Linked DNA regions of Macaca fascicularis. Each later gene encodes a partner of the first gene's protein in a complex. Links are inferred from orthologs where the notes say so. Each region holds a gene or a part of one and is shown in the gene's direction. Other genes may lie near its edges.

The links.
Region 2: the proteins of RAN (region 1) and IPO13 are in contact, whole or in part, in a crystal structure (PDB 3ZJY), measured with the Homo sapiens proteins. The link is inferred for Macaca fascicularis from reciprocal best matches to the Homo sapiens genes RAN and IPO13. Residues at the interface, in NP_006316.1 of Homo sapiens: Lys37, Lys38, Tyr39, Leu43, Gly44, Val45, Val47, Pro49, Trp64, Gly74, Leu75, Arg76, Asp77, Gly78, Tyr79, Ile81, Gln82, Asn103, Arg106, Asp107, Arg110, Val111, Tyr147, Trp163, Arg166; in NP_055467.3 of Homo sapiens: Leu33, Tyr34, Tyr35, Ile39, Lys42, Gln46, Leu49, Met50, Gln53, Glu73, Tyr76, Phe77, Ser80, His83, Ile84, Ile118, Thr121, Arg122, Val125, Val172, Glu175, Glu176, Thr179, Ser414, Asp415, Arg784, Asp785, Pro787, Asp788, Pro829.
Region 3: RAN (region 1) and XPO5 share a complex: the UniProt entries of both Homo sapiens proteins name them as parts of the nuclear export receptor complex. The link is inferred for Macaca fascicularis from reciprocal best matches to the Homo sapiens genes RAN and XPO5.
Region 4: the proteins of RAN (region 1) and XPO1 are in contact, whole or in part, in a crystal structure (PDB 7B51), measured with the Homo sapiens proteins. The link is inferred for Macaca fascicularis from reciprocal best matches to the Homo sapiens genes RAN and XPO1. Residues at the interface, in NP_006316.1 of Homo sapiens: Lys12, Lys37, Lys38, Tyr39, Val40, Ala41, Leu43, Gly44, Val45, Val47, Trp64, Glu70, Lys71, Gly74, Leu75, Arg76, Asp77, Gly78, Tyr79, Ile81, Gln82, Val96, Pro102, Asn103, Arg106, Arg110, Val111, Glu113, Val124, Asp125; in NP_003391.1 of Homo sapiens: Leu35, Tyr36, His37, Gln43, Arg44, Gln47, Leu50, Thr51, Lys54, Glu55, Asn74, Tyr77, Tyr78, Gln81, Lys124, Val125, Lys129, Met132, Leu173, Glu176, Glu177, Phe181, Gln185, Lys266, Thr269, Glu270, Asp313, Gln316, Asn317, Gln320.
Region 5: the proteins of RAN (region 1) and NUP50 are in contact, whole or in part, in a crystal structure (PDB 7MO0), measured with the Homo sapiens proteins. The link is inferred for Macaca fascicularis from reciprocal best matches to the Homo sapiens genes RAN and NUP50. Residues at the interface, in NP_006316.1 of Homo sapiens: Arg29, His30, Thr32, Gly33, Glu34, Phe35, Glu36, Phe52, Val124, Asp125, Ile126, Lys127, Ser153, Asn154, Tyr155, Phe157, Glu158, Phe176, Ala178, Pro180, Ala181, Leu182, Ala183, Pro184, Glu186, Val187, Asp190, Pro191, Ala194, Tyr197; in NP_009103.2 of Homo sapiens: Pro344, Pro345, Lys346, Val347, Val352, Lys362, Cys363, Lys364, Phe366, Tyr367, Lys368, Asn371, Glu372, Phe373, Lys374, Glu375, Lys376, Gly377, Ile378, Lys384, Lys390, Gln392, Leu394, Arg396, Thr399, Asn400, Leu401, Asn403, Ile404, Leu405.
Region 6: the proteins of RAN (region 1) and RANGAP1 are in contact, whole or in part, in a cryo-EM structure (PDB 9B62), measured with the Homo sapiens proteins. The link is inferred for Macaca fascicularis from reciprocal best matches to the Homo sapiens genes RAN and RANGAP1. Residues at the interface, in NP_006316.1 of Homo sapiens: Asp18, Gly20, Tyr39, Val40, Ala41, Thr42, Leu43, Gly44, Val45, Glu46, Glu70, Lys71, Leu75, Arg76, Tyr79, Asp91, Thr93, Ser94, Arg95, Val96, Thr97, Asn100, Lys123, Asp128, Arg129, Lys130, Lys132, Lys134; in NP_001265580.1 of Homo sapiens: Ser29, Gly58, Asn59, Thr60, Asp86, Thr89, Gly90, Arg91, Leu92, Arg93, Ile96, Asp121, Ala123, Phe124, Gly125, Asp127, Asn151, Cys152, Gly153, Met154, Gly155, Arg189, Asn190, Arg191, Gln217, Asn244, Asp245, Asn246, Thr247, Asp273.

Annotation. Positions count from the first base shown.
Region 1 is NC_088385.1:137,993,194-137,996,944, forward strand, and holds the end of RAN (GTP-binding nuclear protein Ran), read left to right. Parts: intron 1-758; coding exon 759-929; intron 930-1,028; coding exon 1,029-1,073; 3' UTR 1,074-2,814; downstream 2,815-3,751. UniProt on the Homo sapiens protein: GTPase involved in nucleocytoplasmic transport, participating both to the import and the export from the nucleus of proteins and RNAs. Switches between a cytoplasmic GDP- and a nuclear GTP-bound state by nucleotide exchange and GTP hydrolysis.
Region 2 is NC_088375.1:190,805,051-190,809,210, reverse strand, and holds part of IPO13 (importin-13), read left to right. Parts: intron 1-3,657; coding exon 3,658-3,798; intron 3,799-3,905; coding exon 3,906-4,047; intron 4,048-4,155; coding exon 4,156-4,160. UniProt on the Homo sapiens protein: Functions in nuclear protein import as nuclear transport receptor. Serves as receptor for nuclear localization signals (NLS) in cargo substrates.
Region 3 is NC_088378.1:127,950,104-127,954,263, forward strand, and holds part of XPO5 (exportin-5), read left to right. Parts: coding exon 1-27; intron 28-951; coding exon 952-1,024; intron 1,025-2,566; coding exon 2,567-2,704; intron 2,705-2,870; coding exon 2,871-3,053; intron 3,054-4,160. UniProt on the Homo sapiens protein: Mediates the nuclear export of proteins bearing a double-stranded RNA binding domain (dsRBD) and double-stranded RNAs (cargos). XPO5 in the nucleus binds cooperatively to the RNA and to the GTPase Ran in its active GTP-bound form.
Region 4 is NC_088387.1:60,385,386-60,390,131, forward strand, and holds the start of XPO1 (exportin-1), read left to right. Parts: upstream 1-1,519; 5' UTR 1,520-2,197; intron 2,198-4,746. UniProt on the Homo sapiens protein: Mediates the nuclear export of cellular proteins (cargos) bearing a leucine-rich nuclear export signal (NES) and of RNAs.
Region 5 is NC_088384.1:6,428,193-6,432,994, reverse strand, and holds the start of NUP50 (nuclear pore complex protein Nup50), read left to right. Parts: upstream 1-1,459; 5' UTR 1,460-1,775; intron 1,776-4,802. UniProt on the Homo sapiens protein: Component of the nuclear pore complex that has a direct role in nuclear protein import. Actively displaces NLSs from importin-alpha, and facilitates disassembly of the importin-alpha:beta-cargo complex and importin recycling.
Region 6 is NC_088384.1:10,324,880-10,329,572, forward strand, and holds the start of RANGAP1 (ran GTPase-activating protein 1), read left to right. Parts: upstream 1-1,443; 5' UTR 1,444-1,989; coding exon 1,990-2,116; intron 2,117-2,525; exon of another isoform or gene 2,526-2,637; coding exon of another isoform or gene 2,638-2,650; intron 2,651-4,693. UniProt on the Homo sapiens protein: GTPase activator for RAN. Converts cytoplasmic GTP-bound RAN to GDP-bound RAN, which is essential for RAN-mediated nuclear import and export. Mediates dissociation of cargo from nuclear export complexes containing XPO1, RAN and RANBP2 after nuclear export.

The DNA of each region.
Region 1 (3,751 bases):
AGTGCAGTGACGCAATCTGGGCTCACTGCGACCTCCGCCTCCCGGGTTCAAGCAGTTCTCCTGTCTCAGCTCCCCTAGTAGCTGGATTAAAGGCATGTACCACCACGCCTGGCTAATTTTTGTACTTTTTTTTTTTTTTTTTTTAGTAGAGACGGGGTTTCACCATGTTGGTCAGGCTGATCTCCAACTCCTGACCTTAAGTGATCCACTTGCCTCGGCCTCCTGAAGTGCTGGGATTACAGGCATGAGCCACTGTGCTGGCAGGAAATAATTTTGTCTTTTTTTATACTATTGTTTTTAAAGAATGATAGAGATGGGGTTTCACTGTTGTCCGGGTTGGTCAACTGAGATACGTGTGTGTATTTATATATTCTTTGTTTTTTGAGACAGGGTCTTGCCCTGTTGCCCTGGCGGGAGTGCAGTGGCATGAACATAGCTCACTGCAGCCTTGAACTCCTGGGCTCAAGCAGTCCTCCCACTTCAGCCTTCTGAGTAGCTGGGACCACAGGCATTCAAGACCATGCCCACCTAATTTGTTTTTTTGTAGAAATGGGATCTTGCTCTGTTGCCCAGGCCTGATCTTGTACTATTGGCCTCAGGCAATCCTCCCACCTCAGCCCCCCCCCAAAGTGCTGGGATTACAGGCATGAGCCACCATGCCTTGCCAAGAATCTTAACATTTTCTTGTCTTGCCATGTCCTAGAAAAATCGTCATCTTAATGAATTTTAAAAGGTAAAAATTATTTTCTTTTAAACAGTACTATGACATTTCTGCCAAAAGTAACTACAACTTTGAAAAGCCCTTCCTCTGGCTCGCTAGGAAGCTCATTGGAGACCCTAACTTGGAATTTGTTGCCATGCCTGCTCTTGCCCCACCGGAAGTTGTCATGGACCCAGCTTTGGCAGCGCAGTATGAGCACGACTTAGAGGTATTACGGCCACTTTGCTGTCTAGGCTATAACGTTTGACTTGTATATTCCTGGCAGTTTTGATCTGGAGTGTTAACATTTTTTCATCTCTTCGTCTAGGTTGCTCAGACAACTGCTCTCCCGGATGAGGATGATGACCTGTGAGAATGGAGCTGGAGCCCAGCGTCAGAAGTCTAGTTTTATAGGCAGCTGTCCTGTGATGTCAGCGGTGCAGCGTGTGTGCCACCTCATTATTATCTAGCTAAGCGGAACATGTGCTTCATCTGTGGGATGCTGAAGGAGATGAGTGGGCTTCGGAGTGAATGTGGCAGTTTAAAAAATACCTTCATTGTTTGGACCTGCATATTTAGTTGTTTTGGAACGCAGTTGATTCCTTGAGTTTCAAATATAAGACTGCTACAGTCACATCACAATATTCAGTGGTGAAATCTTGTTTTGTTACTGTCATTCCCATTCCTTTTCGTTTAGAATCAGAATAAAGTTGTATTTCAAATATCTAAGCAAGTGAACTCATCCCTTGTTTATAAATAGCATTTGGAAATCGCTAAAATAGGGAAATTTTATGCCATGTTAATATTTGAATTGCCTTGCTATTATCGCTTAATTTGAAATCTATTGGGTTAATTTCTCCCTATGTCTACTTTTTATTTTTGTACATTTGAGCCATGTCGCACAAACTGATTATGGCAGATCAGCAGTATTCTATTTGGTTAGAAGGGTCACATGGTGTAAATATTAGTGCAGTTAAGCTAAAGCAATGTTTGCTCCACCTTCATTTTGGCTAGGTAGGGTCACCTAGGGAAGAACTTGCTCAAAATTTGTGACCTGTCAGAATAAAAAATAATGTGGTTTGTATATATGAAATAGATATTTTAAGGGTAATACTTTTGTTTTATGGCAAAAGTAATCATGTTTTAATGTAGAACTTCAAACAGGATGGAATATCAGTGGATGGCAGGAGCTTGGGAATTCTTGCTGTTAAGTACAAATTTTGCACTTTTTGAATGTTAGATGCTTAGTGTAAAGTTGATACGCAAGGAAAATGGTCCATGTTTACCCACGGTTTTCAGGTACTCCCGGACTTTAAAGATGTCTTGGACATTAAGTTCTTAAGCAGTACACACTACACCGTTTATTTTTTTTTTTCCTCCTAAGGATTTTTTTGTAGGGCAGCACAGCAGAGCAGGACATGGATGAAATACTAGGAATACGCATAGTGGGGCAGTGTGGGGGCTTCTCAGCAATGGAGAACAGTTGGTGAAACCTTTATTTTTATCAAACTAAGCATTTAATCTTGTATATTTCCCACATTTAAAAATGAATTAGGTCTCTATCCTAATTAGGATTTGATCCCATCAACACTATTGTAGCAGTTAGGAATCTTAAGAGCTATTTTTTTTTCATACAATTACTATAGTCCAGTTTACCAAAGTTTTCTTTAGATGTCTGATTATCTTGAGGTGATTACTTACCTTAAAAGGTATAGAAAGGATCACTTACATATATGGAAAAATGAAACAAGGGTGAAGCTGAATAAAGTTCTACTTACTGTATTAACTGGCAACAGTTGAGTTTCTTAAGATCTGAATTGCTGTGTATGTTACGCTGTATTCAGAACCAGTTTCTAACCAGCCTGTGAGATGGGAAGTTTTTTTCCCATAATTGGGATGAAACCTTTCATTCAGATATTTTGAATTGAAGGTGTATGTGTTGTTTGTAACCTTGTGTAGATTGCAAGTGGTGTTGACATTCTGGATCTTCTATGTAACAGTTGAAATTTGGAAGTGACGTCGCTTACCTGTCTAACATGGTGTGGGAGAGAATTTACAAGTCATTTATTGAAAGAATAATTGTTGCAAAATATATTGCTTCGACTTTGCCTGGATTTTTTGAATCATCTGTAGTATTTGCTTTAGGAAATACTGACTAGTTAGCAGAGATTATTATCTTTTATGTGGGGGGTGGGGTGGGGAAGGGGTCATTTCTCTCCAGATTGTACATATGGGAAAAGTTGGCTCTCCCTTTTTTGAAATCTAATGAAAGCTTTATACGAAGTTACTGCAAACTAGTAATAGCTTATTCGAGCAACGTCATTAAGAAAAAGCATAGTTAACGCATGGGTCTTGTGTGGATATAATGTGAAACATTGGTAAATTAGCGGGCAAAATGTTGGAGAGCAGTTTCAATTTGTGTGAGAGCCAGTTTTTTTTTTTTTTTAAACCCATATAGAATTTTTTTTTTTTTTTTAATCATAAAATGTCTGGAAAAGATGAGACTCCAAAATAACCTCCAAAGAGGACTGGTTTCCTGGCTAACTGTTCACCTGAAGGAACTCAAGTACAGAGAATTTCTGGTTTCTTCTGCAAAAACATCAGGAACACAAAAAATTACCCGCTGAGCAAATGGGGTGAGGGTTGGATTCAGCTTTTCTTGCTGGCAAACTGACACATCGTGTATGATGCTTTCTGCCACGTTGGGGCTGTGCAGGGCTGTCCTGCCCAGCAGGATAACGTGAGACTAAGCTCTCCCTGTGTGAGGCAGACCTTGTACTAGGACAGCAGCCATCCTAACTCCCTGCAGCACCTTTTACCCTTGAAGCCTAGGGCATGTTGGGGAGAAACCGCACCTCAGCACGGAAACCTTATCTTTAGTTAAGGGGTCAGAGTCCAATTCAAAAAACATCTGATGCATCTCTCTTGCTCCACATTTCCTACAAGGTCTTGCAAGCTCTGGTGACACGTGCATCCTGAGATCACACACCTGTGTGCATACTGCTTTTCAGAACTCCCCCTTACCTCTCCTGAAGTCAGTCCTACCAGTTA
Region 2 (4,160 bases), on another chromosome or scaffold:
CACACACATGCACACATACACACATAGATAATGTGCTTAACGACTGCCTTTTAAAACTTTTAAACATTGGGGTTGATTTTAAAAAATAAAAGATTGTTTCGGTATGAGGATTAAATAAGAGAACGTGAAGCTTTTAGCATGGTTCCTATGTACTCCGTAAACAGCAGTTGCCAGTATTTGGTTTCATTATTGTGTTGGCAGTTATTATGATACCTATCCCCCGGCTTCCCAGGCTTTCCAGCTTAAGGTGGATACCTAGTCCCAGATCAAGGCCTCTCTTGGCAGCCTGAAGCTCAAGTGCTGGGTGGGCTCCGACAGTTGGTGACTAAGGGAAACAGATCAGGGCAAGTGTGTGGGTGATGTGAGGTGTCCTTGGATACACCCAAGTTTACCCGCCCAGCCAGTCTCAAGGGCTTTGGCAGGTAATTGATGCCCCTTCTCCTCTGAACGAATGAGCGAGCAAGGAGCCAGTGAGGTAACCCACAGCCTCCTTGGCGCCCATTGGCTGCAGCCCCTTGGTTGCTTAGCAACTCTCCCCATTTTCTCAGCTCTGCTCCTGAAGTGAAGCTCTAATTGCAGGTCTGGGCTGAGCTCCGTGTGAGCAGCAGCGGAGGAGTCCCAGCAGCCCTGCCTCAGCTACTTGAACTGACCGATTGGAGCCAGGCCTCTTGAACCCAGCCTCAGCTGTGGTCGTAAAGACATCCTCCCTGTCTCCTTCCCCCAAACCTAGAAACCTCTGGGACCTCAGACTTGTTCTTCTGTCCACTCACAGGTCGCAGACACAGGTGCTCAGGTGGTAGGAAATCTATGCAGGAACTTCTTCCCATGGGTGAGCTGCATCCAACCCAGAATCCGAGCCTGGTCCTTGCTCTACCCAGTCTAGTTTCCCAGCTTTGGCTTGTGAAAGTCACCTTCAGTGGCTTTGACTCCTGGGTCATCCAGGCACGCCTTCCCCAGGTGTCCTGACATTGGCCCTCCCCTTAGCTAAGCTTGCACTCAAGTCACCCTTTTCTTGCTCCTCCACAGCTGCTGCTGCTTCCTGGCTCTCTCCTTTGAAATGTATTTTTTTTCCAGAAATATGTTTTTAATGCTGGAAAAGCTTTTCCTTGGGAGTTAGGGAGGGAGGGAAAGTGAATTAGGCAGGCTGTTGGGGGCTCCCATCAGTTAGCACTGGAGATATGGGCTGAGATGCACATAGATCCTTTGGGGAAATCCTGGTTGGGCCCTGAAAGAAAAGCAGACCTGTAGCAGTTTAAGGGGAAGTTTCAACCTGGATTCTGCTTCTAAGTTGTATGACCTTGAGTGATATGATACTCTGAGCCCTTTGAGGCTGTATTATCCTTGATTTGTTCTATTATGAGGCTCAGATGAGACACATTAAGAACCTTCACTGAGTATCTGCCGTCTGCATAAACTTTGGCAGGTGGAGGAAGGAGCCTTAGAATACAGTGGAGATGCTATGGGGGTAGAGCGCTACCTCCTGCACCCATCTCAGTTGCTGAGGAGCTTGTGGGCCATAGCCTTGGCCCTGCCTCTTGTCTTTGTGCCAGAGTCTGGCCTGAAAATGCCCATTGTCTGGTGGTGCAGCCCGTGTCAGGGTCAGGAGACTGAAGCTATCCCAGCCGTCTCCAGGCAGCACCCCCTGGGGCTGTCTCTGGGCTGGGGATATCCTGGCATGGATGACTTTTCCTACCAGAATGGGGATGTGGAGAAGGAGGCCGATGTCCCTGGGCTGGTTGCCTCTTTTTGTCATTCTCATCCTCCCACCAAGGATATGAGGCTACTGCCTAGCAACCTGCTTGGGGCAAGTCCAGATAGAACTCCTTCTGGGATCCTCAGTCCCCCACTCCCTAAAATAGATTGCTATGGTGACATTATGATTGACAACAGAGGGGTCCCAAGCACCTGATCCCTACTGTTAGAGCGTGGCTTCCTCTGCTTAGTCTCATCTCCACAGACCAAGGTGCTGAAGAGGGATCCAGTGGGCTGAGCCAGGCTTCTCTCAGTCCCCTTCGTATACTGGGCTATCTATCCTTCTCCTTTAGAGATCGTTGTGTTTCAGGGCTCTGATCTGGACCCTCTTATTTTTTTTTCTCATTCAACACATTCTCCCTGGGCAATTTTCATCTACTCCCGTAGCTTCAATTACCAGCTGTTAGCTGATGACTCTCAAATCTATGGCTTTTGCTCTAACCTCTATGCTGGGTTTCAGGGTTTTATATCCAACTCTTTCTAGATGCTTCTACCTGCATAACCTATCAGGTGTCTGTGAATCAACTTATCTAAGACTGAGCTTATCACCTTCCACCTCCCATTAAAGGTGTTGCTATTCCCCATTCCTCACCCCACAGGTCTCAGTAAATAGCTCCACCATCTATTTAGTTGTTTAGCCAGTGACCTGAGAGTTGCCTTTATTCTTCGCCTTCCTCATATCCAGTCAGTCGTCAAATCCTGTCTGTTTGGCCTCTTAGCTCTGAGTTCATTATCTACTTCTCTCCCTCCGTGCTGCCACCAGACTCCTCAAGAGTTGGGATTTGGTGGTAGAGAGTAGAGTGGATGGCAGGGGTTGATGCTCTCATGAGCTGTTGCTGCCTTCCAAAATCTTTTTTTTTTTTTTTTTTTTTTTTTTTTAATCAGGGCTTCTGAGCCTGTGTTTACTCGTCTGTCTCCCACTCTTGTTCAATCACCCCTGCCAGACTGTATCAGTTTCCTAGGGCTACCATAACAAAGTACCACAAACTAGGTGGCTTTAAAACCAAACAAATTCATTGTCTCACAATTGTGGAGGCTAGAAGTCTGAAATCAAGGTGTTGGCAAGGCTGAGCTCCTTCTGAAACCTGTAGGAGACTCCGTCCTTGCCTCTTGCTAGCTCTGTGGTTTGCTGGCAGTCTTCAGTGTTCTCTGGCTTCCAGCTGCATCACTCCACTCTCTACTTTAGTCCTCATGTGGCATTCTCCCTGTATGTCTCTGTCTTCACATGGATGTCTTCTTATAAGAACACCAGTCATATTGGAGTTCAGGTCCATCCTACTCCAGTATAACCTCATCTGCAATTATCTTATTTCCAAATAAGGCCACATTTTGAGGTACTGGGGATTAGGATTTATCAAAAAACGTATCTTTTTTGTGGGGACATAATTTGACCCATGCGAGTCTGCCCTCTGGCGCCCCAAACTTCATGTTATCACCACATGCAAACTATATTCACTTCATCTCAACCTCCCCAGAAGTTGTAACCTAGCTGGACGTGGTGGCTCACACCTGTAATCCCAGCTACTCCAGAGGCTGAGCAGGAGACCGAGTCTCTTGAGCTCAGGAGTTCGAGACCAGCCTGGGTAACATAGCAAAACCCCATCTCAAAAAACAAAATCTTCACCCATTCTGGAATCAGCTCGCAGTCCACCTGGAGAACACAATTCAACCCGTAATACCAGCCTTCTCATACTTCCCTCTCAGAGTTCTGGGGGCTCTGACCTAAGGTTCTTCCCAACATAGGGAACATCAAATCTGCCATGTAGACCCTGACCCTTGTTTTGCTTAGGATTTAATAAGGGGAGGGGAGCTTTGAAGGAAGACAAGGAGATTATGCCTTTCTCTTAAAGCCAGTGTGGGGGTGAGCAGAGAGCTCTGATGGATTTTCTTACCTCATGCCTCTAGGTACGTGAACACGCTCCTGAAGCTCATCCCGCTGGTGCTGGGTCTGCAGGAACAACTGCGGCAGGCAGTGCAGAACGGGGACATGGAGACCTCCCATGGCATCTGTCGCATCGCTGTGGCCCTGGGCGAGAACCACTCCCGGTAAGGGGTGGAGCAGCTGGGGGTGGGATAGTAGGGCCCTCTAAGAGGTGGGGTTATGGAAGTCCCTGGAGAGGTAGAATGACCTGACTGTGTCTCCTCCTCCCCAGGGCCTTGCTGGACCAAGTAGAGCACTGGCAGAGTTTCCTGGCACTTGTCAACATGATTATGTTCTGCACAGGCATCCCTGGCCACTATCCTGTCAATGAGACCACCAGCTCCCTAACCCTCACCTTCTGGTACACGCTGCAGGTGTGTCTGTGTGACCTCCAGTAGGACTGGGCTGTGGTGGAAGAAGGTGGATCATGGGCTTCTATGGCTGCTGGTGAGGTGGCTAATTGTCTTCCCTGGCTCTCTCAGGATGA
Region 3 (4,160 bases), on another chromosome or scaffold:
CCTTCAGATCCTGGAACACGTTGTCAAGTAAGGAGCTTTTGGACATTACCACTGAAGTCTGAGAGAACATATTTTTATATCTTATATAACCTATAGAGATGCTGTTTAGGTGAGTAGAGAAGAGCAGTCTCCAAGAAGAAAGGAATGATCCCCTAGATGTTATCAGAACCTCACAGGAGCTCTCATTCAAGATTTAACCTTTCTTTTCTTTAGTTTCTTCATCCATGTAAAGTGTGTGGTACATATTACCCATTCAACAATTATTACCTGCCATTTAGCCAATACTTACTGAGCTCTGACTATGTGCCAGTAGCCCTAGAAGCCTTTTTAGAGTAATGCAATGTATAGGTCAGTAAATCTCTCATTAGGCACTGGGGCTTTCTTTTTTCTCTCTCTCTTTCTGAGTTTGTGTGCTTTCTCTGGGTAGTACATCCAAAGTAGGATTATATGAGAATAACTGAAAACCCCTCCTAACTTGATTGTCCTACCCTCAACACCTGCCAGAAGAGGTAGCCTTCAAGACTTAGCCATAGTTTTTCTGGAATTATTTTGTAAGCCAGCACAGAAAATGAGTGATGTCAAAATTGCATTTCCTGAAAAGCAAGTACATTGCTTGCACTTGTTGGAGTACGTTGTTGGAGTTGACCTAGATGTATATTCAATTTTGGCCCATCAATAAAATCATGAGGAGAAACTGATGTGTGGTACAAATCTTGTGCAGATTCCAGCTAATGGACCACTGCATGTATAAAACCTTTTCCCAAGAATTTTTTTGTTAATATTTTGGTTAAACGTAGATCATTTTTGTCCATTTGTTGACGGGTACAAAATCAAAAGTATAATTTCGTAATGAAATCTCCAGTGGAATCAAATGTAGAAATCAGTGCTATTCTCTTGTAAAGGCAAGACTTCTAAAGTGGTTCTATTGACTTTATGCATTTTGGTGGCCAGGTTTCGGTGGAACGGCATGTCTCGATTGGAGAAGGTCTATCTGAAGAACAGTGTCATGGAGCTGATTGCAAATGTAAGGAACGGGTGGTTGGGAGACATGTTTCCAAGGTAGTTTAGGCAAAGCGTGACTTCTTCAATAGAGAGTTTGTGTAAAAATTCACTGGTTCTAAATAGGTCAGACAGCACAAGAAATCATAATTCAGGCCAGGCACAGTGACTCACAACTGTAATTCCAGCACTTTGGGAAGCCGAGGTAGGAGGATCACCTGCGTCTAAGAATTCGAGAGCAGCTTGGGCAATGCAGTGAGACCCCATCTCTACCAAAAATACAAAAACTGGCTGAGCGTGGTGGCCCATGCCTGTAGTCCCAGCTACTCAGGAGGCTGAGGTGGGAGGATTGCCTGAGCCCAGGAGGTCCAGGCTGTAGTGAGCTGCGATGGTGCCATGGCACTCCAACCTGTGCAACAGAGCAAGACTCTATCTCAAAAAAAAAAAAAAAAAACAGCATAATTCAGTATATGTCTCTTACTAGGTTTGATTAATCACTCTTATGCATTGACTTCTATTTTTTAAATTATAAAGACAGGGCAGAGAGGATTAAATATTTTCAACAAATCAGTAAGATTCTTAGATCTAAATCAGATTGAAACACTGTCTATTTTATTTTCTTTTATTCCGAACAACTGCTGTGTGATAATAGTGATGAAAAAGATGCAGAATTTTAAGTATGCGGGATGAATTTGTTTCAAGTATTAGAATATGACTTTTTCTTTTTTTTTTTTTTTTTTGTTTGAGACAGGGTCTCTGTTGCTCAGGCTAGATTGCATTAGCATGATCATAGCTCACTACAGTGTTGAACTCCTGGGCTCAAGTGATCTTCTCGCTTTAGTCTACCAAGTAGCTGGGATTATAGGCATGTGGTACCATGCCCAGCTAATTTTATTTTTGTCTTTAAAGAGACAGGGTCTCACTATGTTTCCCAAGCTAGTCTGGTCTCAAACCCCTGGCCTCAAGCAATCCTCCCACCTTAGCTTTCCAAAATACTGAGATTACAGGTGTGATGACTGGATGACTGTCTCTTTAAACACAAAACAGAATATGTGACTTTAAACATGTTCAAAATTGTAGCCTTTTTTCTTTCTTGTTTTTTTTTTTAAATAAAAGACATGAAAGATGGAATCTGTATCTTCTAATACTTCTGCGTCTTCTAGTATTAGAACTATTGGTAAAATATTCATTTGCTCCTTCATACCCTTCCATTTTACCAGCTACTCACTATACTCCTTATTTCTATACTCTTCCTCCCTGGCCTTCTGCAAACTGAAACAGTCAATATGAGAATCTTTTCATTTTGTAAAGAATAATGATGTCATCGTAGCTCTCTATATGACAGCCTTTTTATTAGGTGATGCAACCCTCACTTAACCTTTAAGTGGAAGAATGATTAGTGAGAATGCAGGACAAGTGACTCAGGCATGAAGAACAGGTTCGTTTGTTCTGTTTGGTTTAAAAGTAGGCCTGCTGATAAATTTTGTACAACTCTACAGCCCGGCTTTTTTCTGGAATTCTGGAATCCCGTCTTGCATATCTCTTAATATCTCTTGTTCTTTTTCAGGGAACATTGAACATTTTGGAAGAAGAGAACCATATTAAAGATGCTCTGTCTCGAATTGTAGTAGAAATGATCAAGCGAGAGTGGCCACAGCATTGGCCTGACATGCTAATAGAATTGGACATTCTTTCCAAACAAGGGGTATGAAACACAGCTATATCAGTTTGGTATACTTTTCCTTGGAACAAACTTCAGGGTTGTTTGATTTTGTTTGTGGGTTTTTTTTTGGCAACAGAAAATAGCCTTTGGATATACATAAAATGAAAAGATATTTTAATTTTTAACTAGCTTATTTCTGTTGGTGTAGGAAACACAGACAGAATTGGTGATGTTTATCCTTTTGCGACTGGCAGAGGATGTAGTGACTTTTCAGACACTTCCCCCTCAAAGAAGAAGGGACATCCAGCAAACATTAACCCAGAACATGGAAAGGATCTTCAGTTTTCTGCTTAACACACTTCAAGAAAATGTAAACAAGTACCAGCAAGTGGTAAGGGATACCCCTACCTATAAAATTTGTATTTTCCAATATGTTTTTGATTAATCTTACAGTAAGGAACTAGGGTGTCTAGGTCAGCAAAATGAAAGCCTATTTTATAAGCAAAAAAGTAAAAAACTAAGAAATGACAGAAAAGCTAGAGCTCATTTTCTTTCTTTTTTTTTTTTTTTTTTTAAAAAAAAGGGATCTCGGCTTACTGCAGCCTCCACCTCCTGGGTTCAAGCAATTCTCCTGCTTCAACCTCCCAAGTAGCGGGGACTACAGGCATGTGCCACCACGCCCAGCTAATTTTTGTATTTTTAGTAGAGATGGAGTTTTGCCCTGTTAGCAAGGCTGGTCTCAAACTCCTGACCTCAGGTGGTCTACCTACCTTGCTCTCGCAAAGTGCTGGGATTACAGGTGTGAGCTACTGCGCCCAGCCCTAGGTGTTATTCTTATTTTCAGAAATTCCTTATGAAAATACTAATTTTTGAGGCCGGGTGTGGTGGCTCATGCCTGTAATCCTAGCACTTTGGGAGGCCAAGGCAGGTGGATCACAAGGTCAGGAGATCGAGACCATCCTGGCGAACATGGTGAAACCCCGTCTCTCCTAAAAATACAAAAAAATTAGCCGGCCGTGCTAGCGGTTGCCTGTAGTCCCAGCTACTCAGGAGGCTGAGGCGGGAGAATGGCATGAACCCAGGGGGCGGAGCTTACAGTGAGCCAGATTGCGCCACTGCACTCCAGCCTGGGTGACAGAGTGAGACTCCATCTCAAAAAAGAAAGAAAGAAAAAGAAGATACAATTTATGTATTTAATTTTTTGGAGAGGAAGTCTCACTCTGTCACCCTGGCTGGACTGCAATGGCACAATCTCAGCTCACTGCAACCTCCGCCTCCTGGGTGCAAGCGATTATCCTGCCTTAGCCTCCCAAGTAGCTCAGATTACAGGCGCATGCCACCATGCCTATCTGATTTTTGTATTTTAGTAGAGATGGAGTTCACCATGTTGGTCAGGCTGGTCTTGAACTCCTGACCTCAAATAATCTACCTGCCTTGGTCTCCCAAAATGCTGGGATTGTAGGCGTAAGCCACCATGCCTGGCCTAATTTTATATGCT
Region 4 (4,746 bases), on another chromosome or scaffold:
AAATGGCTTGATATTATTCATTTATGTAATGAATAAAAACTTAGGTCTGAAAATCATCCAAAATCATTCTGGTGCATCTAAACATTGAGTTGTTGGGTTTTTCTTTATTGGAGGGGGAGTTAGAATAAGTGGTGCTTTGAAGTTAGTCATAGTCCATCGTGAACGAACATTTGCTAAAGAAAATTGTATTACTTCAATAAACCATTTATCTACCTCTTGGTGGCACAAAGGGCCTAGTAAATTTTGGTGGGCTATTTGCTCTTAAGCAAAGAACAATCTGTAAAGCTGATTTGGAGGACGCTTGGGAACAAACAAGAGACGCAACCACGTGAAAGACAACGTGCATGTGACTTTCACAGAAAATACTATTTGGTGATGATTTAGTATGTGAAGTGCCGCTAGGGTGAAAGGAAAATCTGAGTGTTGCAGATCAAGGGCACCAGGTGGGACGCAGTTGGCATGCAAGCTCACCCAGCCAAAACATGCGCTGTCAAACCAATAACCTGGGATTACAATGTTTTGGCTTTCAGGAAAGGTTGGTTGTCGAAGCGGCCAAATTCCAGCCTGGGGAGGCAGAGTTGAAATTTTAAGACTTTCCCAAGAAGTATTTCGATATATTTTCCGAGACCCTGAGAAGATCACGAGGCGCCAAGAATGCACGCCCTGCGCCTCACCCCAACCTCTCTCTCAGCTACCTGGCCCAACCCAGGCCTCTAAAATGGATTAGAGGTCTGGGGCCTACAATTGGCCTCGGAAGTGTTCCTTTCCCTCCTTTCTCCACCCCTCCGAGAGTTCAAAACAACTGGGTGTGCCATCCCTTTTCCGAACGCATCCCCCATCTGAGGGGCGGATCCTAATTCCCGCGGGCTCAGGCCCCCGCAGGTTGGCGGGAGCCGGTGGGGGCGGGCCGGCCGAGTCCGGGAAGCAGATCGAACACCGCCGCGCGCCGCGATCAAACTCGCGCCGCCACTAGCTCACGAGCTGCGCCCCACCCTCTCCGTCACCGAAGGCGCCCAGCCAATGAGCGGGCGGGAAAGGCCGGGCCTGCGAACTAGGCACTGGGAGGGTGAGGGCCGCAGGGGGAAGGGAAGTCGAGAGCTCGAGGGCGGGCTGCACTTGATTGACAGCTCGTTCGAACGAATCCTCCACGCGGCTTTCCTTCGCTCTCTTTTCTACTTAGCCCTGCTCTTCGTCCCACCTCCTCCTCCTCCACCCCTCTCCTCTTGCCTTTCGACCCTCCCCACTTCCCCTCCCCCACTCTGCGGGCAAATCGCTGCTGAAAAGAGGCGGGGGCCGAAGCGGCGGGCTCGTGTGGAGCCTTGAGGTGGGATTGACTGGCGCTCAGGCCAATGAGAGATAGGCTCATGGCGCGGCTGTAGCTGGAACTGACCAATAGGAGGGCGGGCTGGGGGCGGAGGCCCAGGTTCCAAACGCTCCGCGGCGCCATGGGCTGAAAACTCAACCGAGATGGAATCTCCCAGTCTGAACCGGTTTCAACCGGTTCCGAGTTTGAGGCACTAGGAGGAGGGGGAGAAGCGGCTGCAGCGGCCGCGGCAGGAGCAGCGGGAGCTACAGCATCAGCAAGAGCAACAGTAGCTACAGCCCCGGCGGCGGTGCCTGTTCCAGTCTTTGCTGCTGCAGTCCGTGCAACCACCCAGAGGGGGAGGGGGGAACCACCAGTCGCTGAGGAGCAAGAGAAGGGGGGAAAGTTTAGGCGAGCCTGGGGGGGGCCCAGCGCCGGAGCCGCGTGAGAGAGGGAGCCGTGTTTTGGTAGGGGGGAGTCGGACTGCAACTGGCAGCAGAGCGTCCCCCCGGCCGTGTGGACTCTACACCCCCTACTCCTGCCGCTTCTGCTGCTGCCTGTGGCTGGAGGGTCCCCCTGGGGCTGAATCTTTGGGACTTGACCCGGTTCCCTCCCCCTTCCCTCACTCCCCAGCCGGGCGGGAGCATTTATTCCCCAGATTAATTCCCCTTCTTTTTTGGGGGGCGGGTGGGTGTGTGTGTTGGGGGGAAGCGTCCCTGAAATAGTAAATATTATTGAGCTCTTTTTGCCCTTTTCCTCTCCGTTTTTTTAATTTCTTTTTTTAAGGTGGGAAAACTGTGAAACCCACCTTGATTCGTCCCCTCTCCCCCTCCCCACCTTCCCTGGCCCTAATCCCCCGACAAGGAAGGAAGGAGCAGTTGGTTCAATCTCTGGGTAAGTCGACTGTGTCTTTGGGGCCGAGGGTCGGGCGGCGGCGCGGCCGGGCGGGAGGAGGCCAGCGTGGGGCGCGGCGGTCGCGGGAAGCGAGCCCAGGAGGCGGCGGGCGGGCCGGGGGCGCGCCGGGCCCACAGCGGAGCCTGCGATTGAATGGAGCCGCTTTTGCCGCTGGGGGATGGAGGCGGGGAGGCGGCCGCGGGAGGGGAGCGCTTGCTGGGTCATTCGCGTGTGCGGGTGGCGGTGGAGGAAGGCGAGGAGCGTGATAGTGAAACGGGGCCCCGCGCGGGGTGGAAGGGCTTCCCCAGCCCCACGGGCTGGGGAGAAGTTGGGGTGATTTCAGGAACATCTCTGTAAATTATTAGGAGTGGAAGTTTCCAGAAATATTTAGTGCAGCAGCATTGAAACGTCCGCCTGCATCACGTGGCCCCCTCGGTGGAGAGCTTGGGATGGGGGAGGGAGGGGCTGCCGACTCCCTGTTCCTCCAGCAAGGAAACTCGAAAGCTCTCCGGTTTTTTGCAGAGTGGCATGTGAAGTAGGAAAGATGAATTTTTCAGGGGCCTGCACATGGGATTCCGTCTTGTAGTTCCTTTTCAGGGGTTTGTGTGTGATAAGTTGGTTAAACCATTTACTGCTGGCCTCGTACAGTGGAGGATGCCCTGATTCTCCTTCATTCCGATGTCTGAGTTTGGGTTGGGTGGGAGGAAGTGGTGTAGTAGAGGAAGCATTCATTACTGGCTCAGCCCGGACCTCCTCTGATCACGCCGAGGCCATGCTGCATAGAGAAAGGGGCGTTGAACTTAAGGCGCCTGGTCTAAATGCCTCCTCCGAGTATGGGCGGGGTGAGTGCGTGCTCCCGTGTGCTATAGTTAGAAGGGCTGCAAATCGGTTCGGGTGGGAAGCCAGGGGAGGGCGGGCCCTAGTGAGGTGTGTTTCTCCTGAATGAAGCAGGCGGTTGCCCACACACCTAAGGAGCAGTCAGTCTTTCGCCTTGTAGCGACTTGTTTTTTTTTTTCACCTAGTGTGAAGTTATTAAGCAACGGTTATGATTTCCTGGGTTTTGGATAGGAACTGGCATTGGGGGTCACTTGTAGAGTCACAACATTATCCATTAAGCTGGATAATCCCTAGTGTATGTTATCCAGTGAGTGGATTTTAGGATTGAAGAGCCCAACGGGAATGAGCGTTCGTGGTTACACCTCTCCCTCTTTGACTTGTTTGCTGTCTGATTGTATATCTTAAGTGTGGGACGCTGCTGTTAGTGGAAAGAATGTTTTGGAAGCGGCTTGGTTTGGGGGACTAAATGTGCTTGGCATTGACCACAAAGCCGCCATTTCTGTACTATGTACAGTTCAAGAATAGGTAGGTCATTTCGAAGACAGCCGCTAGTTCTAAGGATGGCAAACTACTGTATTTAAATCCTTCTATTCTAAATCTCGTTTTTCACATCAGTCTAGTTCGGAGAATTCTATAAGGACAGTGTATTTGAAAGTGAAACTTGGAAGAGTCATTTTCTTAATCCTTTTTTGTTTTGGCATTAAACTATTGTAGGAGTAAATAGGTGAAAAGTTTGTTCGATAATTAACCGAAATATTTGAAAACTTCTGATACGTAGATCTTGATGCTTTGTGGACATTGCTTTTAAGCCTCAAATAATTAAGATTGTTCTGATCTTTTAAATTTTATAGTAGTTGAAGGTGGAGAGTTTACACATTCATTTGTGGAATATATATTTCCTCTCAGTTTTTAGATCTTAAGGGTTTTTTTTGTGGTGTGTAACAAGTATCCTGCTGTTTAAAAAAGTTTGTTTAATGCCTACTACAAAATATTTTGAAGTCTCATCAGTTTTGTCAATAATGGACCAATTCTTGAACTCCTAATTTCTTGAGTTTCACATTATTTTTACATCATGTCAGTCATAGGTGACTCATTTTTTGGAGTTCTAATCTGTTGTAACAGACGTTATATTTAAATGAGACATTTGCATTAAAATTGAAATTGCTGCCATTATTATGGACATTTTTAAGCTGTTATAAAATAGCCAGGAATTAACGCCTTTTTTCCCCCCTGCCAAGCTAGTTTGTCCAAATACAGTGTAAAGAAATTAGCTACTCATTTTCTGGTCCATGAAAGTTCCTAAAATGGGAAGAAGCGGAGATCTGACCTTGTTAGTTCTAAATACACTAAACCGGGGGTGCCATGGATGGCTTTCAGGATGTCCTGAATCCTCTACAATTGTATACAGAATCATGAGTTTTTAAAAACTAGGTTAGAGCTATTGGTTCCTCAGAGTCTCAGGCATCTTAGACCCCAAAAAAGGTTAAGGACTACTGACTTAACCAGTTAGGTTTGAGTGGCATTGGCTTTGAAGAAAAGCAGAGGAAAGATATTTTTTATAATTCTGGGCAACAAAAAGTTGGATGTGTGCCAGCATCTTAGAGTAGAATCCTCTTAAAAGGATAGCGTTGCATATGAACTAGTAGGTTTTAACCAGTACATATTTTGGCGAAGTAGCTCATTTTTCTCTTAGAATTCTTTTTTATTTGGGA
Region 5 (4,802 bases), on another chromosome or scaffold:
ACGGAGACAAAGCTGGCTCCTGGCATAGACCTCTAACAGCAGAAAGAAAGGCAGGATCACATCACCATGGACTCGTTTGGAATTAGGTCAAGTAGGTAAACTGACATGTCTGGATATTTATTTACTGAACATGATGACAATGACCCAACCTAACAACCATCAAAGTCCTTCGGCTCTCAGGGGTTAAGCAAATTGAAAGGGATTTTTGAAAGGCAGAGTATAGGAAAAAAGTGGCTAACACCTTTGGGGCAGTATTTCATAACCTGAGACTTGAGCTTCATTAAAAGTAACCAAATTCAATGGAGGTAGATGTCTGCGTGCAAAGTGCCCCCATTCTCCTGAGTTATAGCCAGTTTAAAGTTGTCATTTTAGTCAGCAGTGAAATCCATCCAGAAAGGCTCAAGTCAGCTACAGTGCTATTATAGACATAAATCTTTTTTATTTGTATTAGAAAAGCATCAGTTATTTCATGCTACAATGTGTAATTAAGAATTAAATGTGTTCATTATTTTGCTTACCCTTACAATAAGATATTTAGGGTTACAGGAACAGATTAATAATGTTAACAAACCCAGGACTTAACAGACCCAGGAAACATTTTGATGTCGCCGTATCTGTTAGTCCAAACTGCACCATTTTCTATGCCCCCCGCTATTTCGCAGACACTGGTCAAAGTGAAACATTCCACACGGGTTCGGGCCGCGGTGGTGGCACCTGAAATCCCAACTACTAGGGAGGCTGAGGCAGGAGAATCGCTTGAACCCAGGGGACGGAGGTTGCAGTGAGCCAAGATCGCGCCACTTCAATCCAGCCTGGGTGACAAAGCTCAGTGCCCAGGACGCACTAAGGGATCTCAGGGGCTGAAAAAAAAACAGAAGAGAAGCCACGCGACGCAAAATCAAACGTCAGCGAACGAGGGGTCCTTTAACAGGCGGTCCACACGTCCCCTCCTGGCGCCGAGACCCAGCCGCTCCGGGCCACCCCGGCCAGGTACGGCCAGCCCCGGGGCGGGGCCTCCTGACGTGAAGCGATCCCACTGGCACCTCACAGGATTCCCGAGGGTCGCGGGCGGCCTCTCCTCAGCCCTGCAGCTCCCACACACGGACACCGCGAGCCTCGGCCATGTCCACTGACCGACCTTCCTCGCCGCAGCTCCTCGCGCATGGCCGGCCCCTTAGCAGCGACTAGCGCGAGAACAGCCCGGAAGACGCGCAGCCAGCCCCACGTGAGCCGAACACCCCAAGCCGCCGCTGCCGGCGCCGGCTCCGCGATTAAGGTCGGCGCGTGCGCGCTTGCGCGAGACGGGCACGCTCAGCCCGGCGCCGGTTTCTAGGGAGCTGGGCGCATGCGCCGCGTGAGGGGCCCGGCCGGCGGAAGGAGGCGCTGCTACCGGAGGTCCCGGCGCGCTTGCGCAGTAGCTGAACGCGGGCGTTTCTTTCCTCCCTTTTTTTCGAATTGGTTTTGGGGGTAGATTCGAGTTACAAAATGGCCGCCCGGAGCGTGTTCGGCGCGGTTACTACGGCGGTCTCGGGCTGAACCGGCTCTCTCGCCTCCCTGCCGAACACAGCGTGAGGAGCTCCCCCTCCCCGGGGACATGGTGTTTGAGTCTCTGGGCTTGCCGAGCACCAAGTCCTCTGAGGCCCTCAGGGCAGCACCGGAAGCGGCCGAGCGCGCTCAGCCAGACGACCACCAGTACGCTCCAGACCCCAGCGCCGCCGCGCCCCGGGTTTCGCCGCACCCAAGACCTAGCGAGTGCTGCGGCAGCGGCCGAGGAGGTGAGGGGCGGCGGCTGGCGCAGGAGGGGAAGGGGCTGAGGGCGGGAGCCTGGTGCTGAGAGCCCAGGGCCGGTAGGGCGGGAGCGGGCTCGGGCCTGGGAGGGGAGTGCTAGTGCAGGGCTGGGGACTGGACCCTGGGGAGAGGGGTGAGGGCTCAGGGCCGGGGGACGGGCCCCTGGGGAGGGGTGCGGGGCCGGGGGACGGGCCCCTGGGGAGGGGTGCGGGGCCGGGGGACCAGACCCTGGGGAGGGGCTGGAGGACGGGACACTGGGGAGTGGGGTACAGGGCTAGGGGCCGGGACCCTAGGGAGGGAGCCTGGGTCGGGCGCGCGTGCCGGGCGGGGCGCGCGGGTGGGCAGCGACGGGTGGAGGGTGGGGTGGGATGACAGCGGCGACGCAGCGTGGGCTGTTTGTGAAGCGGGTCCTGGGCCTCGCCAGGCTGCGGCGTCCGACTCGAGTGAGGCTCGCCCCTGCGGCCCCGGCGGAGGTAGGGGGCTGGCAGGGCTGTCCTGGCGTGGTGGTCTCCGTTTCCTTCCTAGCGATTCCTCTCGATTCTCCTCTCCCCCTGGCCACCCCTCGTCGCTTTTCTCCTGGGCCCATTACCTCTCTGGCCTAGCTTCACTTTCTTACTGCGTTCCCGGGTCATTGATCACCCATTTGCTCGGTTCCATTAAGAAACAGTTTGGAGATTCGGTATTTCTGTCTCCTTAGTTGGCCCGCTTGTTCTCTCCCTTCAACAAGGCACCTCACTATTAAGTATAACGAAATCCGTGTTTTCGTTTTAAGCTGATGTTGACAAGTTGAGCTCCAAGGGCAGAGCTACACCAGATGCCAGAGACCACATAACTATATCAGGCACAAATAATGTTTTTTCCAGTTTGCCTAGACTTTCAGTCTCCTACCACGTTGCTTCATACCTAGAAATCATGTCGAATTTGGTGGTTTTTTACCCACAAGCGCAGACGCTTTTTAAATTCCCTTTTATTGATTGTTTGGTTGAGACTGGGTCTTGCTTTGTCACCAGGCCGGAGTGTAGTAGTAGCTCACTGTAGCCTCAAGCTCCTGGGCTCAAGTGATTCTCCTGCCTCAGCCTTCCAGGTAGCTGGGACCACAGGTGTGCGCCACTACGCCCGGCTAATTTTTTATTTCTATTTATTCATCTAATCTATGTCCATCTTTATTTTTGTAGCGACCAAGTTGGTTTCCGTCTCCTGGCTTCAAGTGATTCTTCCGCCTCCCTTAAGTTCTTCATAATAGTAGCTAGACATAAGGCCAGGTGGCAGGCCTTGTTCAGAATATTTTACAGAGGGTTCCCCCCCGCCCCCCACTTGTAGCATAGAAGTAAAATGTATTGTCTGAAGTGTCATGCTTTGAAATAAAATAGGGATTAGGTAAAATGTTTTTAAAAGTCTGGTTTGTAATCCAAGTTATTCTTCCATGCTACAACTTTTACGTTTTGGAGGAAAAATGGTAGTTTATAGCCTTTGCTTCTAATAACACTTGTTTGTTTAATAATTTATTAAGCCCGTCCTCTGCTCCAGGCAGTGTTCTAAGCCAATCTTTGTTTATCTTAACTTTCTTAATACTTCCTGTTCCACAGATGAAGAAACTGAGGCACAAAAATTAAATATAACTTGCCCAAGTTCTCACAGCTAGAAAATGGCAAAACTGGGACGCCAGATCTTTCAGTATTTTTTGAAATACTTTATGCAATACCCCAGCTCATTGATCTAATGATAGACAGGACACCTGCTGTTTGAGCTGGGCGCTGTTGGGACATTTGGAGTATATCTGTAAACAAAACAAAGATCCCTGCCTTTTGGTTATATACTGATCTGATGAGTGTGTTAGAACGTGGAAGCCCCTACATTTATTTAGACTATTTTGCTGTGCCACCTGTCTCTTCATTGTGGGTATGAGTTAGAAGGTAAAATTTTACTGTTACAGTTTTTGTGCATTCAGCTCCATCCCTTTTTTCTCCACAGTTAATTTTCTTTTTTCTTTGTTTTGTTTTGTTTTGAGATGGAGTCTTGCTCTGTCACACAGGCTGGAGTGCATTGGTGCGATCTCAGCTCACTGCAACCTCTGCCTCCCGGGTTGAAGAGATTCTCCTGCATCAGCCTCCCGAGTAGCCGGGATTATAGGTGCCACCACCACATCCAGCTAATTTTTGTATTTTTAGTAGAGGTGGGGTTTCACCATGTTGGCCAGGCTGATCTCAAACTCCTGACCTCAAGTGATCTGTCCGCCTTGGCCTCTCAAAGTGCTGGGATTACAGGTGTGAGGCACTGCGCCGGCCCTACAGTTAATCTTAAATAGCATATGTGACCATTGGCAACTTCTTACTTCTCCGACCCTCTGGCGGAGATGTTAGTTAATGAGTAGAAAAATTGCTAAAAGAATCTGTATAGAGGGCCGGGCGCGGTGGCTCAAGCCTGTAATCCCAGCACTTTGGGAGGCCGAGACGGGCGGATCATGAGGTCAGGAGATCGAGACCATCCTGGCTAACACGGTGAAACCCTGTCTCTACTAAAAAAATACAAAAAACTAGCCGGGCGAGGTGGCCAGGTGGCGGGTGCCTGTAGTCCCAGCTACTCGGGAGGCTGATGCAGGAGAACAGTGTAAACCCGGGAGGCGGAGCTTGCAGTTACCTGAGATCCGGCCACTGCACTCCAGCCTGGGCGGCAGAGCGAGACTCCGTTTCAAAAAAAAAAAAAAAAGAATCCGTATAGAGACCTGGTTTCTGAACAGTAAAGAATTATGTGTATTCCTGTATTTGTTTTTGTTTGTATGACAAAGATTAATGACAAAACTTAACCAAGTATTTTTGGCCGGGCATTAAAAAGAGAGGGTTCCCAGCGAATGGAAAGTGTATTCTCATACTTTATGTTTTAGAATCTTGGACTTTAATATCATTTGTAATCAGAAAAATAGCACATACTTATAAAATGTAAAAATCACTAAAATGTATTACAAGCTGACAGCCCCTGTGTAATTACTCAACTGGCCATCAAATTGTAGAGGCCTT
Region 6 (4,693 bases), on another chromosome or scaffold:
CTTTTTTTTTTTTTTTTTTAAGTTTTTGAGACAAGGTCTTGCTCTGTCACCAGGGCTGAAATGCAGTGGTGCGATCATGGCTCACTGCAGCCTCAAGCTCCCAGGCTCGAGATCCTCCTGCCTCAGTCCCTTAGCTGAGACTACAGGCATGCACCATCACGTCCAACTCATTTTTGTATTTTTTGTCGAGACAGGGTTTGACTATGTTGCCCAGGCTGGTCTCGAACTCTCTCGCCTATAATCCCAACACTTTGGGAGGCCGAGATGGGCAACAAGAGTGAAACTCCGTCTCAAAAAAAAAAAAAAAAAAACGCTGTTTGTGTTTTTATGCTTAAATTCACACCTGCAGAAAAGTTGCAAAAAGGTTCAAATAACTCCCATATCCTTCAACTAGATTAACTAACATTTTGCCACATTTGTGTCTCTGCTTTCTCTATGTATATGTGTATTTCTTAACCATAAAGGTTGCTGACATCATGTCCTTTTTGTCCCTAATTATTTCATCTCTTTTTCCCCAAGAACAAGGGCAGTCTCTTACATAACCCTGTACCATAATCGAAATTAATAAATTTAACATTGATACAATACTATTATCTAATATACAGTCAAATTTTGCTGTTTCAGTATTGTCCTTTATAGCAATCCCCACCCAGGATCCGATCCAGGACCATGTATTGCATTCAGTTGTCTTTTTCGTTTCCTGTAATCGGCAACAGTTTCTTAGTTTTTCTTTGTCTAACATAATACAAACATTTCGGGAAGGGTACAGATCCGTTATTCTGTACCATGTCCCTCAGCTTGGGTTTCTCGTGATTAGGCTAAGGTTGTAGACCGGACGGTGACGCCGTGTTTTTCTCAGTGCATCACACAGAAAGCGTGCGATGAATGTCAGCTTGTCCTGCTGCTGATGTTAACGTGGCCGTTCAAGCGGTGTCTGCAGTTTCTCTACGATAGTTACTATTTCCCCTTTTTAATTATCAGGTAATTTGTGCATATTTATGTGGAAGGCTTCGAATGCCCTTTCAGTTTCATGGGACGGAAAAGAGCACTTTATCTGGGCAAATGGATACCTGTGTCTTGCGGAAGAGACCCAGCAGCCAGCAGTACCTGTGTCAACAAAGTTACGCGAACAAAACCTTTCCGGAAGAGCTGAGGGACCTGGGTGCAACGCATTCTGGGAATTGTAGTCTCTGGGTGCTTCCCGGCTGAACACCGCCCTGCGGTCTCTGCGAGAAAGACCCAGAAGCCGCCAGGGGAGGGCGAAGAGGAGGGCGGTGAGGACGCTCTGCGCGCGGTGCGCCATGGGACGGGTAGTTCACGGCGCGCGCCCTGTCGCGCCCCCAGCTGGGGAACGGGACTACCCTACCCGAGAGGCCGCGCGTGCGGGGCGAGGGCAAGCCGGCCGGGGCCTCGAACAAATCAAATCGAAGCAAAGAAACTGCCGGCTTTCAAAATCCTCCTCCTCCGCCATCATCCGCCGCGGTGCGGAGAGCAGGTGGTGCTAAGCGCGTGAGGCCCCGAGCGCGAGAGAGCTGACAGACAAGCCAGCTGGACATCTGGACCGCTGGACCTGGAGGTGGCGACCCCGGCCTGACCCGGACCCTAAATCCGTCCCCGCCCCACCGGGCGGAGGCGCGTGCTCGGTTACCCCCACGCGGCGGCGCCGCCTGTTTACGGTAGAGTCAGGGTCCCTTTCCTTTCACAGTCACCTGCCTGGAAGAGGGGTGGGGGCGAGGAGGGCGTGGCGCCCCAGTGCACCTTCTGCCTGCCCCCTCGGCCTTCTTCACTAAGTCTTCGATGGCCGAGCGCCCCGGGGTGGCGGTGAGAGTGGGGTTGTTGGGCGGCGCTGGCTTCTTTCACAAATGGGGAAACCGAGGCTTAAAGGGCGTCTGACTCGCCGGAGCAGCTCAGCCTGCAGCTGCTAGCAGTGGCGTCTCATATTAGCATCGTTGTCAACCGGAGGCGGTGCGAGTCCGCCGGGGATTCCAGATGGGTCTCCCGCGCCGCCCGCCTGTCATTTGCGGCCTGTATTCGCGAGTCGCTCCCGCGGCGCCGCCTCCCAGCAGGCCCACGCCAACGGGGGGCCCGGGCTGGCGCCGCTGTCCCTGGAATCGATGTGAGTCACTGCTGACGCTTTGCAGGAGCATGCATCTCACCTCAGAAAGTCTCCGACGCTGCTGCGGAGCGGGGAGAGGATATTTCTTTATTAACCCTTTGCTTTTGCTCTGGTGCTGACCCTTTGCTGACCTTGGACAAATCAATTCACGTTTCTGTGCTCCAGTTTCTTGGTCTATAAAGTGTGTGTGGAGGAGTGCATCTCCTTGTCTGGCTCTCTCTTGGACTGAGGAATAGGCCCCCTTTCAGCTGAGAAGTTCTGTCCCTATTCTATTTGGAGGTTTCACCAACACCTTTTACCCTCAAATTGTCCCATCTCAGAACTGCAAGAGATGCTGGGGTTTCAGGTTAATTTTTTGTTGGTTTTTCTTTAATTTTTTTTTTTTTTTTTTTTTTTTTTATCTTTTTAGAGACAGGATCTCCCTCTGTCATCCAGGCTGGAGTGTAGTGGAACAATCACCGCTGAACTGCAGCCTTGGCTTCCTGGGCTCATGCGATCCTCCCACCTCAACTTCCCAACTCATGGGGACTACAGGTGCCATCACACCTGGCTAATTTTTAAATTTTTCTTTGGGGACAGGGTCTCATTCTGTTGCCCAGACTTGTCTCGAACTCCTGGTCTAAAGTGATCTTCCCGCCTAGCCTCCCAAAGTGTTGTAATTACAGGTGTGAGCCACTGCACTGGGCTGGTTTCTCGTTAATTTTTTTTTTGAAACAGGGTCTCCAGAAGTGCAGTAGCAAGCTCTCATCGCACTGCAGCCTCCACCTCCAGGGCTCAAGTGATCCTCCCACTTTACCCCCCAAGTAGCTGGGACTGCAGGCACCCGCCACCACACCCAGCTAGTTTTTGTATTTTTAATGGAGACGGTTTCAGCACATACCCAGGCTGGTTTCTAACTCCTGGGCTCAGTCGATCCACCCACCTCAGCCTCTGGAAATGCTGGGATTACAAGAGTGAGCCATTGCACCCGACTCTGGTTAATTTTTTTTTTTTTGAGACGGAGTTTCACTCTTGTTGCCCAGGCTAGAGTGCAATGCCACGATCTCGGCTTGCCTCAACATCTGCCTCCTGGGTTCAAGTGATTCTCCTGCCTCAGCCTCCTGAGTAGCTGGGATTACAGGCATGTGCCACCACGCCCAGTTAATTTTGTATTTTTGGTGGAGACGGGTTTCACCATGTTGGCCAGGCTGGTCTCGAACTCCCGACCTCAGATGATCTGCCCGCCTCAGCCTCCCAAAATGCTGGGATTATAGGCGTGAGCCACCGCACCTGGCTTGGTTAATTTTTAGGCAGTTTCAACTGGTCATTTCTTGAGCACCTTCTGAATGCCAGGCTCTGTGTGGCAAGTAGAGTGATCCTGTCAAAACATAGGTCAAATGACATCTGTCTCTGCTAGAAACTTCAGTGACTTTCCTTGTCACTTATAGCGAAAGCCACTGTTCTTCCAATGGCCTTTATGACTTGGGCCGCTTGTTAACTCTCTCGTCTCTTAACTCCTTTTTTTCCTGTCTCTCTGTGCTTCAGCCTCGCTGGCCCTATTGCAGTTCCTCCAACCCTCTGCCCGTACAAGAGCCATTGAATTTGCTATTCCCTTTGCAGGAATCGTGTTCCCCCAGATGTGTGCATGGCCCAATCCCTGACATCTTTATTTAACTATTTCCTAATAATGCCTTTTTGTTGTTGTTGTTTGTTTGTTTTGAGACAGAGTCTTGCTCTGTCACCCAGGCTGGAGTGCAGTGGTGTGATCTTGGCTCACTGCAACCTCTGCCTCCTGGGTTCAAGCAATTCTCCTGCCTCAACCTCCCGAGTAGCTGGGACTACAGACACACACCACCATGCCCAACTAATTTTTGTATTTTAGTAGAGACGAGGTTTCACCATGTTGGCCTGGCTGGTCTTGAACTCCTGACCTTGTGATCCACCTGCCTTGGTCTCCCAAAGTGCTGGGATTACAGCCGTGAGCCACCACTCCCACGCCCCCCCTTTTTAAAATCACATACTAAATGTGTCATTTAGCACACATGCTTCAAGAGGTCAAGGTTTCTGTTTCCTTTGCTGCTATACTTCTGTTACCTGGAACAATATCCAGCACACAGTAATACTCAAATGTTTTGTTGAATGAATGAGTGGACACCTTACCCAGAATAATAATTCATGCTTATTGATAAAGACATAGACAAACCAGGGTGATAAGTTTGAACCCAGAGGAAGCCTAGGGGTGGCAGGATTCAGGGTATCACATCTGTATCTGAGAATGAGGAGGCTGTAGGAGGAGGCCTTTTGGATAGCACCCCCTAGTTCTGCCCCTCATATCTGCTTCCTTGGTCTGTCCTGATTACTTGCTGTTTCTCCTCTTTTTTTGGAGCATCTCACAGACACATTTATTCATACCACAAAGTGAACACTATACAAGTATGTAGTGATGTTCCACGTTCCCGTCTAATATAGCTGGCTTCAGTTGTCAGGCAGTACACGAGAGACGTTTAATCTCACATGTACTCCAAGTAAAGCTGGAGTACCATGAGTAGGCGCAGGAGTTCTTAAAGGTTTACTTGTTGTTTTAAAAATTCTCATTTA